Canis lupus familiaris: one gene and its partners. The protein of the gene in region 1 binds, or shares a complex with, the protein of each later gene. Links are inferred from orthologs where the notes say so. Each region holds a gene or a part of one and is shown on either strand. Other genes may lie near its edges.

Region 1 (5,012 bases):
ACTGTGTCTGCTCCAGAGCAGCCCTGCCTAGTACAGCGGCAACTTACATTTAAACTAATTAAAATTAACTCAGTGCCTCAGTTGCTACACAGGGTTAGTGGCTACCATGTCGGACACAGCAGATCAGAGGGCCTTCCCAGCACCGCAGAATGTTCCATCAGACAGTATTTGGCTAGCGTGCTCCGAACACTGTTTGTGTGGAGATCTGGGGTCTCGCTCTGCCTGCTGAGGACGTGTCTGCCCTGATTTTGGAGGAGAGCTGCCTCACCCATTTGTTGTCAGGTGCTCCTCTCTGCCGTACAGACAAAACTCCAGGTCGTGGCCCTTTAGTTCTGGCTGTTCCACACACTTGGAGTCATTTTCTGGACGGAAGTAGCCAAAATCACTGTAAGAGTCAACAAATAAAGTATCTTTCAGAGTTGCTGGAAGACAGTCAAGTGACTAGTACTGAAGGTTTTGTGTGGAGCAGTGGAAGATTAATATTCCAGTCTTTGGAAGCAGTTCAGTGTCATCTGTAGAGAAGGTGTACTTAGGGAAACAGGCATGGAGAAGACCAAACTGGGGGGCCACGGGCAGCTTACGGGCAGGCCTGGTGAGCTTGGGCCTCGGGAACTGCCTCCCCCCCCCTCACACACAGACAGCACTGGCTCCAGGCAGGGGCCAACTGCACAGGCCAGGGACTCACGACACCAAAAAACTGTCGCATCAGCGACAGATCTAAACCCACGCCGCTTAGTGATCTTTTTATTTCCCTCCTGATCACTCGTTACTGTGTTCTCTGGCAGGGTGCCCTAGGGTGTAGGTCAGATTCTGCCTGCCTCATTTCTGTCCCTCTGTCTCCAGTGTGAATGCCCTGTCCTGCCCTCCATCCTACCCTATCTCTCCACCGCACTTCCCATCTGCCCTTTCCCCTAAGAACTCACACACTGCCCCCTCTCAGAGGCTGACGCCTTATGTGAGCATCCTTGGTCCGTCCTTCCTCCTGTCCCGGGACCTAGCTTCCCTGAGGGTGTAGAGGGACCACCAGGCCCGTGCAGCTGGGGGCTTCTCCTTAGCCTATGTGTTTCCTCTTCCTTCTCTCTCTTCTTAAAATAATATTTTAGATTTTTTCTGTTATACTCTTACTTTGCATTCTGTGCATGTTGGCTTTAGCACCCTCTACAACTTTGGGGGTAAACTTCTAAGGCCCCCAGGACTCACTAGGCCTGCAACCCTGGGGGGCCCTCTGGTCTGGCCTGTGCTGTGGCACCTAACACACTGCCTGCCCCAGCCCCTGGCCAGCTGTGCTTGCCTGTTTCTCTCGGTTTCCATCTTCTAACCTGGAAATGCACACACTTTCCAGCGTCGGCAAGTCATTCTCTTAGCCTGTGTCTGAGCATAATTATTTGTTGCAACTAAAACTTGTAGGTCTCACCTCTCTAGAGCTCTGAGCCTCCATTCTCAGTACCTGCTGGACATCACCACCTAAATCAGAACCCCAAATAAATGAAAACATCCAAAACGCATCATGTGTTCTCTCTCAAGCCAGCCTCTCCCATCACTTCTCTGTGTTTGCCACGGTGCTACCTTCCTTCCATTATCTAAGCTGAAAATTCAGCCTGGGCATCCCCTATTTGCCCCCTACTCGCTTCTTTATCGTGGCCATGGGGACTTCCCCTCATGGCCGATCTCCCAGCACACTCTTCCTGAGCATGCTGGTGGTATCTACTCTTGTACCAGTCCACTGGCTTTAAGGACTTGTTTCTTCCCAGATGTGCAAGGACAAGTCTTACCGCTTGCCAGGGCCTAGCTCAAATGCTACCTCCTCAACAAAGCCTTTTTTTTTTTAGATTTTTAAATTTATCTATTCATGAGAGAGAGGGGGTGTGTGTGGCAGAGACACAGGCAGAGGGAGAAGCAGGCTCCACGCAGGGAGCCCGACGCGGGACTAGATCCTGGGTCTCCAGGATCACACCCTGGGCTGAAGGCGGCGCTAAACCGCCAAGCCACCCGGGCTGCCCAACAAAGCCTTCTTTGACACACCGCCTTTCAGCTCTAGATGGAATGGCCTTTCCCTTCGCTAAATCCCCGAGGCACTGTTTCACCGCATAATTCTGTGCATCTGACCAGGACAATCAACAACAAACTTACTGTCACTTTGTGCTACCCTGAGCACAGCAAGGATGCAATGGACGTTTAGGCAATGCACTGATGCTGCGCTTGTACTTCAAGGTGTTTCTGACAAATGTTTAGGGAACGGGGTAAGAAGAGAACAAGCGATGCCAAGACACCAGACCTCTGACAGTGGGGAAAATTCTGGCAAAAAGTTTAGGTATCCAATCGCACATGTCAGGGAAAATGTCCTTCCTGCTCACAAAGTACACATTTCTCAAGCATGGGAGGGAAGCGTGCAGGCTCTGGAGTGGGGCTGTCAGGAGCACAGTCCAGCTCTTCTGCTTCCTGGCTGGGCCACTGTGTGGGCTGCAAGTTAGTAGGGACCTCTCTGAATCTTCTTTCTTGGTGAGATGGAAATGGCAGCAGGCCCTATCTCAGAGGCTGCTGAGGTTAAATGTAAATTGCTCAGGATGGGGTTGGCTACCGGGTCCGTGCTCAGTAGACGTCAGGGGCTGCGTGTACTCCAAGATGATCAAATCTAATGTGCCCTCAAGGAGTCGGGAGTTTACCGGTGGAACCAATCCATGCACAATAACCAAAACCTAGCAGCAGGCATCCTGCAGGAGCCCACGTGAGGAGAAGAAGGGCGCTATGTATTAAAGGCCAAGTAGGACCTCCTCAAGCCTGGGGGTCACGCAGGGAGCATGGGAAGACTTCACGGGTGGAGGAAGCTGCGTAAACAACAGTGTGGAGCTTTGACGGAGCACAGCATGTCTGGAAAGCAGGGGAAGGCCAGGTAATTAAGAGCCTGGTCTGTGTGATGAAGACAGCCCGCTGGAGCATCAGTGTCAGCAAGCTCTAGCCCCAGAGGGACACCGCAGTGATCTGAGGGATCCCACTCCTTGTGGAAGGACAGCAGGTCACCCCTGGCCTGCTCCACATACAGACGTGAGCCACACAGGCAGGACCACAGCAGTCAGACCGGGGGTTCGCTCCATCCCCCATTCCCCTCACCCGCAGTTCTAGAGAAATGTCTATGCGGGAGGACACGACTGCTATCTGCCTGCACTCTTTCCAGATCCTTTAGGATTCACCTTACCTTCCTGCCAGTATGTTCTGCAAGAAACGAGTTCCATGAGGTTACTGGCTGTGACGGCATGCAGCCCCTCTCATTTGTGCTAAGCTACCCTGCTTGGCTAGCTGGGGCCTGTCTCACCCTTAGATAATCAGCTAACTCCACGCTGGCCTTGTCACTAGCCCTGTACCTGGTGGTCCTGAACTCGAGGGAGTCCACCACGATGGCCTCTAGACCCTGATGGGACATCTGGACATCACCACCCCGATGCCCCCTCCTGTCTCAGGACAGAAGCACTCTTTGCCTTCAGGCGTGCAGACAATCCAAAACCTAGCGCCCTACCTGCTGCACTCGGGCGGTCGGTATTTAGTGAGCACAGGAGGCCCAACCTCCCCCCAGCTGCTGCACTGCCCTTCCCGGTGGTTTCCACACTGTCGGTTCCTCTCTGGGTTTGAGTTCTCTTTCTCCTTATACACCTCTCTCCCTTGCTGTCTGGTGTGACAGATCACCTGTCTGAGGACTGTAACTGTGGATCCCTTCTCTGTGCCTCCAGCTCCTCAATAAGCAGCAGCAGCAGCAGCAGCAGCTCGCCACACTCGGGGAAGGAAGGATTGAAATCCTTTACAGCCCCCGAAGACAACTGCCTTTTGCCCCCTCCCGCCCAGCAAAGGGGCTAACAGGGATGTGAGGGGGGCCAATACCAGAGGAAGTCCTCCAGGGAGCAGGGACAGACGGACGGCTGCTTGGTCACAACATAGTCCCGGCCGTTCTGGCAGACGGACGACTTGCGGAGCCGCAGATACTGTTCCTTGTAACCCAAGATGCAGCCATCTCCATAATCCCCGGGGTCTGCGGAGTGAGCCAGCCATATGGTATAGTCCTTCTCCTCACCTAGAGAGAACACAGGCTGTTCAGGTGACCGCCTGGCCCCACACCCACATGCGAGAGGCGGTTGCAGGCGGGGAGGAGAACACGGATGGGAAATGGGGGTGTCTGACTCATCCTACTGCCTCATTTTGGAACTGCAGATGAAAGTTGCAGGACTTGAAGCCTGCTAGCAGTTGGCATCACTCATGTCAGGAGAGGACTCTTCATGTCTCACCGTCCATCTGGATATTAGGAAAAACCCTATTTGTTTCAAAGTGGGCAGCTGGATGGGGGACCTCAAAGCTCCCTTTGAGGTGGAGAGGCTGCTGTCTCTACGTCTGGTACACCTGTGCTCTTGGTCAGCAGAGCTGCCACTAGTAAGTGGCCAGGTGTTCCCTTTTAGGACAAGATAAGAGCCAGCCAAAGCAGGGGTTCAATCTCACCGTTAGGTTAGCTTGCCTCAAGTAGAAGGAGACAAGGTCTTTCTAGACCTTTAACTCTAGTCAACTGGCTTTCCAATCAGTGACAGTCAATCTGGTTTCGTGAGTCTTATCATACTGGAAAAATGACTCAAAGGCTATGGCCTGAAGACTGTGCATTAGGTTTTTATCCTTTGGGATATGAAGACCAGCACAGAGCCTTTTAAGAAGCAGGTGCTTACCAAATCTTTTAATGGCGTTAAACTTTAGGGATAACTGTAGAGCTGCCTTACGAAGGAAAACTCGTAAGCTGGCTCCTTTACAGCCTATTTCATGAATCTGGATAATAATGACTCTCGAATATTAAATCATATTTAAACACCTGTAGAAAAGTAAGGTCCAAACGAGTGCTCCTGCTTCCTCCAGGGGTCACTGAACTAACATTCTGAGGAAACAGAGCCAGCATACAATCTAATAACGAGACCAGGACTCAACCAAAGTGACCTGAAAACCTTAAGTCTTTTATTATAACACCCCAGAGTTCACAGGGTGGGGGC
Region 2 (5,012 bases), on another chromosome or scaffold:
GGATTCTGATATTAAAGACAGAAATTTGATAAAGTATCTGGTATTTGATCAGTTATCTGGGGTGATCAGATACCAAGCATGAGGCATCTGCAGTAAATGCACCCAGCACAATTCTTGCTAAAACTCAACTAAGGAGACCAAGGACAGAGCCTGAGGTTGGGACCTAGTTAAGAAGGGGGCTCAAAGGAGCCTGATTTAAAGAAAGAGAGCCTTTGCCATTTTTTCTGAATGAAATAGTTGAAACCTTATACAAAATATTCTCAAATACAAGATATCTAACTTAGACATCCTGTAGTCAGTACAGTTTTCTCTGCTGGGCTTCCTAGGTATGACAGGGACCAATGTGACCTTAAATAATTGTACTATTGAGTCATGTAGTGACTACTTTAACTGGCAGAAAGAAACAGGATGATTAATTCAGTTTCCTCATCCAAAAAAGTAACCAGATAACACAAATCCTGACAGATACTTTACAAATAAAGCATTCTGTGGTCATATTAGTTTGGGGAATATTTGACACTATATTGGCACCATTAAAAAGTTACAATGGGGGCACCTGGCTAGCTCAGTTGGTAGAGCATGTAACTCTTGATCTCGAGGTTGTGAGTTCAAGCCCCACTTTGGGTGTAGAGATTACTCAAGAATAATAAATTTAAAAAAATTAAAAGTTACAATAAATATGTGCAAGTAAAAAAGTTCTGAGGATACCTAAGTTCAAGAAATCTTTACAATTTCTTTAAATTTAAGTTTTCCATTGTACTTGACAGGAGAACTCTTTGAGAAACAATGAGTGCAGAACTAGTGTTCCAAGGAGTACACTTTAGAAAACATTCAATTAGATGATCTACAAAGAACTTTCTAAATGTAAAATTATAGTATGCCATTAACTGGTATGATATAAGGTGTTGCTGCCAAACAGTGGAGCATGTCTCTAAGTTTTCCATAACAGAAGAGCTTAAGCAATGGCTGGATAATTGAATTCACAGGGTATGGCTGAAAGGATTTCTAAACTGGCTAAAACCATCCTATGTTATGTTATTATATATCATATTCAAGTCAATATCTTTGTACTCATATATTTGCATGTTCTTAGGGTAAAATCTTAATCAAAGGGTGTGTACACTTTCCATTTTAACACAAGATATCCTTCAAAAAGTTACAACATTCTACACCCAGACTGACAAATATTTAGAAGAGGAAGTAGCCCCATCCCCATGTCCCTAGAACTACACCAAATGAGTGTCCCTGTCCTTTTGAAAGTCTTCCGAGGAGGTGTTGGTGGTCAAGTTGAACATCTTTCCATATATTTCTTCTTTGATAAGGGATTCTGTGACTTGTTTACTCATTTTACTTAAACACAGTTTAAAATTTTTAGTTTTTTTTTTAATTGGTGCATTCAGCAGTTTCTTTTTGAAGATCTTTACCTGTATTAAGGATATTAACATTTTGTGGCAGCTTTTACATTAAGGCTGGTCATTTTCCAGAGATGTTCTACACATTTAATTTAAAATCATCCTTTTCTTTATGGATTGTGGTTTAGATATTTGCTTAATAATACCTTTCTAGGTTTATAAAACAAACTTTATATATTTAGACACTATTCTACTTTTACTCATTTGTAACTACAGTAAACTACAGTAGATCAAGAAAGTTATAACTAGATGTAAGTCCAGATTTCCTGATAGCCAATTGTCTCAAGGATTTCAAATGTGAACTCTGTTATACGCTGCTCATTCATTTGTACTTGGACCAATTTGGGGATATTATTTTCTATTCTGTTGTTGCCTTTTGCTGAGCCTTTAAAGTACACTTCAGTATCTGGTAGAATAAGTTCCTCCTCATTGCCTTTTTATTTTTCTAAATCTTGTTATTCTCACACTTTCATGCTTACAAATTAATTATTTTGCCAAATCCCCAACTCCAAAGTCCGGTATCCCCAGGTTTTCCAAATTGGATTTTTTTTTTTTCCAATTGGAATTTTGATTTTCAATTGCATTATGGGGGGGAGGTAATTCAGAGACAATGGACATGTGATATTGCCATTATTGAATCCTCTCATCGTGGTTGTGTGGTCATTCACATTTGTGTGTGTGTGTGTGTGTGTGTGTGTGTGTGTGTTTAGGAAAAATGCATGCTTTCCTATATGCCATTTGAAATTTTTATTATTTTGCATTTAGGTTCTCCTAAGTCTTTATGTTTCCTCACTGATTATTATTGGCACATAGGAAAGTTATTGATGGTAATACTGGTTTCAGACAAGATATAATTAGAAAAAATGGTAACTCTAGAAAATATTATAATTTACAAATAAATAAATTGATCAGCTGTGATGCTGCCTATGAGAACTATTGATGTGTGGAATAGATTAGTGATCTCACACTACTGTAATTGTCCAAATCTGTTAGTATCATCGCAGTCCATGCTCCATTAGACACCAAACTGAAGTGTAGTAAAGAGAATAGTATTTTTAATATTTTCATCTGTGATATATGCATATATGTTTACATATTTATACTCACAATTATTTCTATATTTTTTGCTTTGCTCATGTATGTGTGCTTGTGTGCATGTTTATAATTGTATTACATTAAAAAATTGAATATAAGAGGAATTGGTACTAATAAATTTTGTGATGTAAGGTTACTAAATTAATAGCAGTGTAAATATGAAGCTAGAGTAAAAGATTCTAAAATATAATGGCTTTAATGGCTTAGCATAATGGAAATTAATTTCTTATTTCATAGAATACAAGTTTTAATTAGCTATTTTTTTATTTTAAGTACCTAATTTTTTTCTATATTTCAGATCAGTAAAGCAAGTGTTTCTTCTTGGAAAATGACCCTGCTAAATGTTTGCAGTTTTGTCAATAACCTGAACAGCCAAGCCGAGGAAACAGGAGAGTTTCGTGAAGAGGAGCTTATTACAAGAAGGAAATTTCCCACTGCCTTGGATGGCTTTAGCTTGGAAGCAATGTTGACAATATACCAGCTCCAAAAAATCTGTCACAGCAGGGCCTTTCAACAATGGGAGGTAAAGCAAAAACAAAATATGAATGTAATTCTCGTTATACTAGTTAGCTTTCATTTGTCCTGATTTTTTCTGCCCTGATCATTATCATAACAGGAAGAGTTACAGATATTAAAGAAGAATAAACCATGTGTTTAGGTTAACATTCCTTCAGATCTTCAAAGTGTCCTTCAAATATTTGGAGTTTAGCAAAATATTTTTTCTTCAATCTTAAAAGGGGGATATATCTTAAGGCAGATTTGATCCACATGCTTTTATTGTGCTTAAATGGATGGCATACTTAGGCAATTTTTAGTGGTCACATGCCTATAAAATTTAAGAGCTCAAAATATTTTCTTAGAAACACCAAGTCATGTGTGTCTATAAACAAACACAAAATGAAAGGTTCTACTTGTATTTGAATATATCAGGCAAATAAAACTGGAAAAATCCATATATATGTATTCCTATTTCAATTGAATACATAGATTTCAGGCATCCTTAGCATCTAAACTAGGTCCACCACAGCCAACGCAGCCAAAATCCATTATACAGAAAGAACTACACTAAAATAGGATGAAACAGTTGTATTAAATACTATACTAGTGATTTACTGCCTTTGATTTTGGAACAATTGTTTGCTTGAAGGAGGAAAAGAGAAATGAAAATGCTTTAAAGAAAAAAAAATTAAAATTTTTTCCAACAAGGGAACCATTTCTCTCATATTAACCTCTAAGAGAAATCTGCTTAATGATTTGTATTTTGGGTTTACACCAACATGGCAAATTTGAGGGTGCCTTTCCTGCTAATATAGCAATCGCTGTAGAGGACTATCACAGAGACACCCTGAGGAAAAGAAGAAATGCAAACTAGAACTTCTAGTGTTTATTTTAACTTGTAAACAAGAAGATGTTTTCTAGATGAAAAACCAAAAAAAAAAAAAAAAAAAAAAAAAAAACCAAAAAACAAAACTAGTTTAAATTTTACTTGATGGACTACTAATCCCTAATTCCAGTTCCAGCTAAATAGTTTAGTCTCTAAAACATTGTTTAAGTCAATAAAACTTAAAAAATCCTAATTTTAACATAGGGAAATGTCAATTGTGTGCTATTTATCCAGGAATTGAAAAGAAAAAACCTCAATAAATTATTATACATACAAATCAGGTGCACATACAATTAGAACTTTCACTATTTTAAATGTTTTACTGAGTAATTTAAAATAAAGTGATAATATCATTCAGAACATAATATGAATAATTATAGACTATGTTCACAGAGAAACATAAGATTTAGAAACTAGATTGTCTGCCAGTACCTGTTTTTTCTTCTCTGAAATTGGATGTTATGGGTTGAGATAAAGTACTTGGTGATACAACTCAGTCCATAAGCATTATAATTAAAATTTTAGTCTCCTCTTAGTATTTCTTATGACCCCAAAGATTAGAGGACAATCACAAACACAAAGACAATTCTTATTTTGAACATTTGTTTTAAAATTTCACATAAATTATGTGCAACATTCTGGGACAAGTTCTTAAACATTTTCCGTTAGCTGAAATTTTTGAATCACACCTGTACCAGAAAAAAGGGTTCAGAATTAATTTTAGAATGTGGCATATTCAATGAGATAGTAGGGAAGATTCTACATGGAGATGAACTCCCTTAAGTTATGGAATCTGAACTTGTTTCTAATTATTAGGCGCCACAACCTGAAGAGATCTTTACTATTTAAGCAGAGCTTTCACATGCGTGAATTTCTGTCACAACTAAGTTAGGCAGAGCAGGCATTTCTCTCCCTTTGATTAAGAAATGGATCTTCAGAATGGCTTTCAAGTCAAGTTGGTAATTAAGAGAATATAAAATATAAAATCCTGTTGCCTTTTGAGGCTAAACTTGGCTTACTAAATTAAAAACTCTTTATTTGTTGTTGATTTATAATATATTTTAATGCAATTTAGTTCCTCTGTCATAAATTAAAGCCTGAAAAATCTTCGTAACACAACT
Region 3 (3,983 bases), on another chromosome or scaffold:
GCAGGGGCAGAGCAAGGGGCTGGAGAGATCAAAGTCCGGGTCGGAACCATCTCTCGTCAGGCTTCTTGCTGCGAGGACAAGGTGCACTGCTGCCCCCATGGTACCTCCTGTGACCTGGCTCATGCCCGCTGCCTCACGGCCACAGGAAGCCACCCCCTGGCAAAGAAGATCCCCGCACAAAGGAGTAACAGGGCAGGTAAGGAAGTGGGAGAGCATCAGGTTCGGGGTTGGAAGTGAGGCGAGGCCTCATCTGGCTCTCAGCTGGGGAAGAGCTCCCCGCCACCTGGGCTGCCCCGCACACCTCTCTCCCCTTCCAGGGGTCATATGCCCTGATGGCCGGTCCCAGTGCCCTGATGGTTCCACTTGCTGCGAGCTGCCCAGCGGGAAGTATGGCTGCTGCCCAATGCCTCATGTGAGTGAAGGGCTAGGTGCCCACAGTCACCTGGCCCGGACACCTACCTTGGAGGGACGCCTTGGGGTGGGGCGTGCTGGCAGGTCCTTGGAAGCTTGGCTGCTCAGGACTCATGCCACCCCCTAGTGGGGGACTGAGGCAGTGTCAGCTGTCACCTGGCTGCTCCCTGAGCTCAACGGAGATTGGAAGTCACAGGACCTTCCCCTCCCCCCACCCAGGCCATCTGCTGCTCCGATCACCTGCACTGTTGCCCCCAGGATACTGTGTGCGACTTGGTCCGGAGTAAGTGCCTCTCCAAGGAGAACGCTACGGACCTCCTCACCAAGCTGCCAGCACACACAGGTACCAGAGGAAGGCTGCAGACCCCATTCTACCTGCACCATGTGCAGGAGCTCTCCACTGCACTGTTCCAGGAACAGATAAGGGGGTGGGAGGCTGATGGCCACAAGGAGGGGACAGGGCTGGCACAGCCCCTTTTCCTCCACACTAGTCATTGCCTTTGGGTCACTGCTGAGGTGGCCTAAATATACTCTCCATTCTCCACACCTGGGTCCAGCTGTGGCGCCAGCAAGGGGTTGGGTGTCCTGAGGGCCCCCACAGCCACCGCTGACCTGTCCTCCGTGCCTTTCTCACAGTGCAGGAGGTGAAATGTGACATGGAGGTGAGCTGCCCAGACGGCTACACCTGCTGCCGTCTGCAGTCAGGGGCCTGGGGCTGCTGCCCTTTTGCCCAGGTACCCAGGAGTGGTGGGTGGGCTGGGCTGAGCAGAAAGTGGCAGCCAGCTAGGCCTCGTGCCCATTGTCCCCTGTCCATTCACCCTAGGCCGTATGCTGTGAGGACCATGTACACTGCTGCCCGGCTGGGTTTAAATGTGACACAGCGAAGGGCACCTGTGAACAGAACGCCCCCCAGATGCCCTGGATGGTGCAGGCCCCAGCCCGCCTTCAGCTGCTGAACCCCCAGGCCACAGAGAATGATGTCCCCTGTGATAACGTCACCAGCTGTCCCTCCTCCAATACCTGCTGTCGACTTATGTCCGGGGAGTGGGGCTGCTGTCCTGCCCCAGAGGTGTGTGGGTAGGGGGAGAGCATGGCAGGGGGATGACAGGGTCTTAGCCAAGGCAGGTGGCCAGCCTCCTGTTGCTTTGCTCTTCTCTCCCCTGCCTGGCCCACAGGTGGCACACCAGCTGGGTCAAGTTCATTCCCAGCTGGGGGAGCTGTGAGCAGGAGAGGGAGTCGGGCTAGGCAGGGGCTTAGCTTTTTGTCCCACATGGCAGCTTCCCAGACCATCCTGTTCTACCACTGTCCCCCCTACCCCCCCCCACCCCTGCCAGGCTGTCTGCTGCTCAGACCACCAGCACTGCTGCCCCCATGGCTATACGTGCTTGGACGACGGGCACTGTCAGAGGGGGAGCAAGGTGGTGAGTGGACTGGAGAAGATGCCTGCCCGCCGGGCTTCCCCATCTCACCGCAGGGATATAGGCTGTGACCAGCACACCAGCTGCCCCGTGGGACAGACCTGCTGCCCAAGCCTGAGTGGAGGCTGGGCCTGCTGCCAGTTGCCTCATGTGAGTGCCCCCCCCCCACCACCACCCCACCTGCCCTGCACAGGGGGTCTGAGTCTCCCAGGGAGAGGAGGGGAGAGTTGAAGGCTGCCCTGTCCCTCCCAGGCTGTGTGCTGTGAGGACCGTCAGCACTGCTGCCCAGCCGGGTACACCTGCAACGTGAAGGCCCGATCCTGTGAGAAGGAGGCAGACTCGACCCACCTGGCCGTCCGCCTGGCCCGTGGCCCTCGCGTGGGTGTGGGGAACGTGAAGTGTGGGGAAGGGCACTTCTGCCATGATAACCAGACCTGCTGTCGAGATAGCCGAGGAGGCTGGGCCTGCTGTCCCTATCACCAGGTCAGTGCTCCCTCACCCCTGCCCTGGAGCTGGGTATCCCTGAGAGCCAGGTGCCCCACTCTGACCCCCTGCCCCCACCCATCTGTGGCCGTCCAGGGTGTCTGTTGTGCGGATCAGCGTCACTGCTGCCCCACTGGCTTCCACTGTGGGGCCAAGGGCACCAAATGTCTACGGAGGGAGAGCCTGCGCTGGGACATGCCACTGAGGGACCCAGCCCCAAGACCGCTGCTGTGAGGCGAGCCGAAGGACTATAGAGTCTGCAGCCCTTGGGACCCTGCTCGGAGGGTCCCCACTGCTCAGGCCTCCCCAGCACCTCTCCCCCACCAAATTCTCCCAAGTCCCCCATCCTGAGTCCCACCCCCATCATGGTTGCTGGGGCCTCAACCTAAGGCCTTCCCTATCTCAAGGGAGGCTGTGGCGAAAGCCATGTTACAAGCTGCCATCCCTCCCTGTTTCCGTCTACCCTGTGGCCAGGTGCTCTTCCCTATCCACAGGTGTATGTGTGTATGTGCTGCAGTAAAGTTTGTACACTTTCTTAACAGCGTCTGATTTGACCACCTTGCCTGCCCTACTCTGAGAAGGGCTCCCACCCAGTGTCCGTGTTCCCCAACCCCACAGAAAGACACACACACACAGAGTTAATCTCACCAGTTTTATATTTGCTGTTGCCCACAGCAATCCCATCACACGATCCCCTAGTCCCCAGAGCCGCCCCAGCCACCAGCCCTGTGACATTGTAGCCCAGAGATGGGCTAGTCAGCAAGCAGCACCCCCTCCCCTCCCGGGGGTCCACAGAGAAGGCCCCCTCCCTTCCCGGCCCTCACACTAGCAGCTGAGGCCCGGTCGCCCCTCCTGCTTCCCCACAATAGATCTTTCTATGTACAGCCACGTTTATACAGGCACTGCTTCCCCCCACCCAGCCCTCCTTCCCCAGCACCTCCCCAATGGGGGTCTGGACCCCTCCCACCTCCTCCCTCTTGGAGGCTGACCCGGGTCCCTCCCGAGACCTCACCCAGCACGTACCACTGGACAGCTCCGCAGGCCCCCGGCCACCTCTCCCGGCAGGGCGGGGGGCACTGGGGCGCTAAGAGCGAGGGCCCCCGCGGCCCCCCGGCGCGCGCACCCTGGGGGCGGAGCCGGGCGGGAGGGGCGGGGGCCGGCCCGGGGGCGGCGCCAGGCCGGGCGGGGGCGCTACTTGACGTTGAACACCATCAGCGGCCGCTCCTCCCGCCGCTGCCACGGGCTCTTCTTGTCGCCCGCCTCGTCGCCCGCCTCCGCCCCCAGCTCGTCCTCTGGGCTGGTGAGCGAGTCGCGCCGCAGCTCGCTGGCGCTGCTGCGGGAACTGTCCCCGCGGCTGCGGCCCCGACCCCGGGGCACGGTGGCCGCCCGGCCCTCGGGCGCCGCCACCTCGTCCAGCAGCGGCGTCAGCGAGTTGTCCTCGGGGGAGCAGAGGCCCGTGCGGCTCTCGCTGCTGCTCGGCTCCGTGTCCTCGCTGAGCGCCAGGCGCGGGGGCGCGGGCGGCGGCGGCGGCGGCGGGGGCGGCGGGGCGGCGGGGGGGGCACGCTCCCGCTCCCGCTCCTCGCGCAGGGGCCGCCGGCGCGCGGGCCGCGCCTCGTGCACGTCGACGCCCGAGTCCAGGCTGGCGTCGGTGCTGCGGCCGCCCCCGCCCGC

What was found. The genes of interacting proteins can lie anywhere in the genome.
Region 2: the proteins of SORT1 (region 1) and NTS are in contact, whole or in part, in a crystal structure (PDB 4PO7), measured with the Homo sapiens proteins. The link is inferred for Canis lupus familiaris from reciprocal best matches to the Homo sapiens genes SORT1 and NTS. Residues at the interface, in NP_002950.3 of Homo sapiens: Val112, Ser113, Leu114, Ser115, Trp116, Lys260, Tyr304, Ser305, Phe306, Gly307, Leu308, Phe314, Ser316, Arg325, Ile327, Phe350, Tyr351, Ser352, Ile353, Tyr395, Gly399, Thr570, Gly571, Leu572, Ala573, Trp586, Trp597; in NP_006174.1 of Homo sapiens: Leu152, Tyr153, Glu154, Asn155, Pro160, Tyr161, Ile162, Leu163.
Region 3: the proteins of SORT1 (region 1) and GRN are in contact, whole or in part, in a crystal structure (PDB 8T8S), measured with the Homo sapiens proteins. The link is inferred for Canis lupus familiaris from reciprocal best matches to the Homo sapiens genes SORT1 and GRN. Residues at the interface, in NP_002950.3 of Homo sapiens: Leu108, Gly110, Ser111, Val112, Ser113, Leu114, Ile174, Gly175, Pro176, Lys260, Tyr304, Ser305, Phe306, Gly307, Leu308, Phe314, Ala315, Ser316, Arg325, Ile327, Phe350, Tyr351, Ser352, Ile353, Leu354, Tyr395, Thr398, Gly399, Thr402, Phe404; in NP_002078.1 of Homo sapiens: Pro578, Arg579, Trp580, Asp581, Ala582, Pro583, Arg585, Arg590, Gln591, Leu592, Leu593.

Annotation. Positions count from the first base shown.
Region 1 is NC_049227.1:42,964,640-42,969,651, reverse strand, and holds part of SORT1 (sortilin), read right to left. Parts: intron 4,061-5,012; coding exon 3,871-4,060; intron 386-3,870; coding exon 269-385; intron 1-268.
Region 2 is NC_049236.1:27,665,068-27,670,079, forward strand, and holds part of NTS (neurotensin/neuromedin N precursor), read left to right. Parts: intron 1-2,805; coding exon 2,806-3,030; intron 3,031-5,012. UniProt on the Homo sapiens protein: Neurotensin may play an endocrine or paracrine role in the regulation of fat metabolism. It causes contraction of smooth muscle.
Region 3 is NC_049230.1:18,951,717-18,955,699, reverse strand, and holds the end of GRN (progranulin), read left to right. Parts: intron 1-60; coding exon 61-196; intron 197-317; coding exon 318-412; intron 413-630; coding exon 631-754; intron 755-1,047; coding exon 1,048-1,145; intron 1,146-1,234; coding exon 1,235-1,480; intron 1,481-1,745; coding exon 1,746-1,979; intron 1,980-2,081; coding exon 2,082-2,312; intron 2,313-2,408; coding exon 2,409-2,546; 3' UTR 2,547-2,851; downstream 2,852-3,983. Other genes in the region: protein FAM171A2, read right to left, coding at 3,504-3,983. UniProt on the Homo sapiens protein: Secreted protein that acts as a key regulator of lysosomal function and as a growth factor involved in inflammation, wound healing and cell proliferation. Regulates protein trafficking to lysosomes, and also the activity of lysosomal enzymes.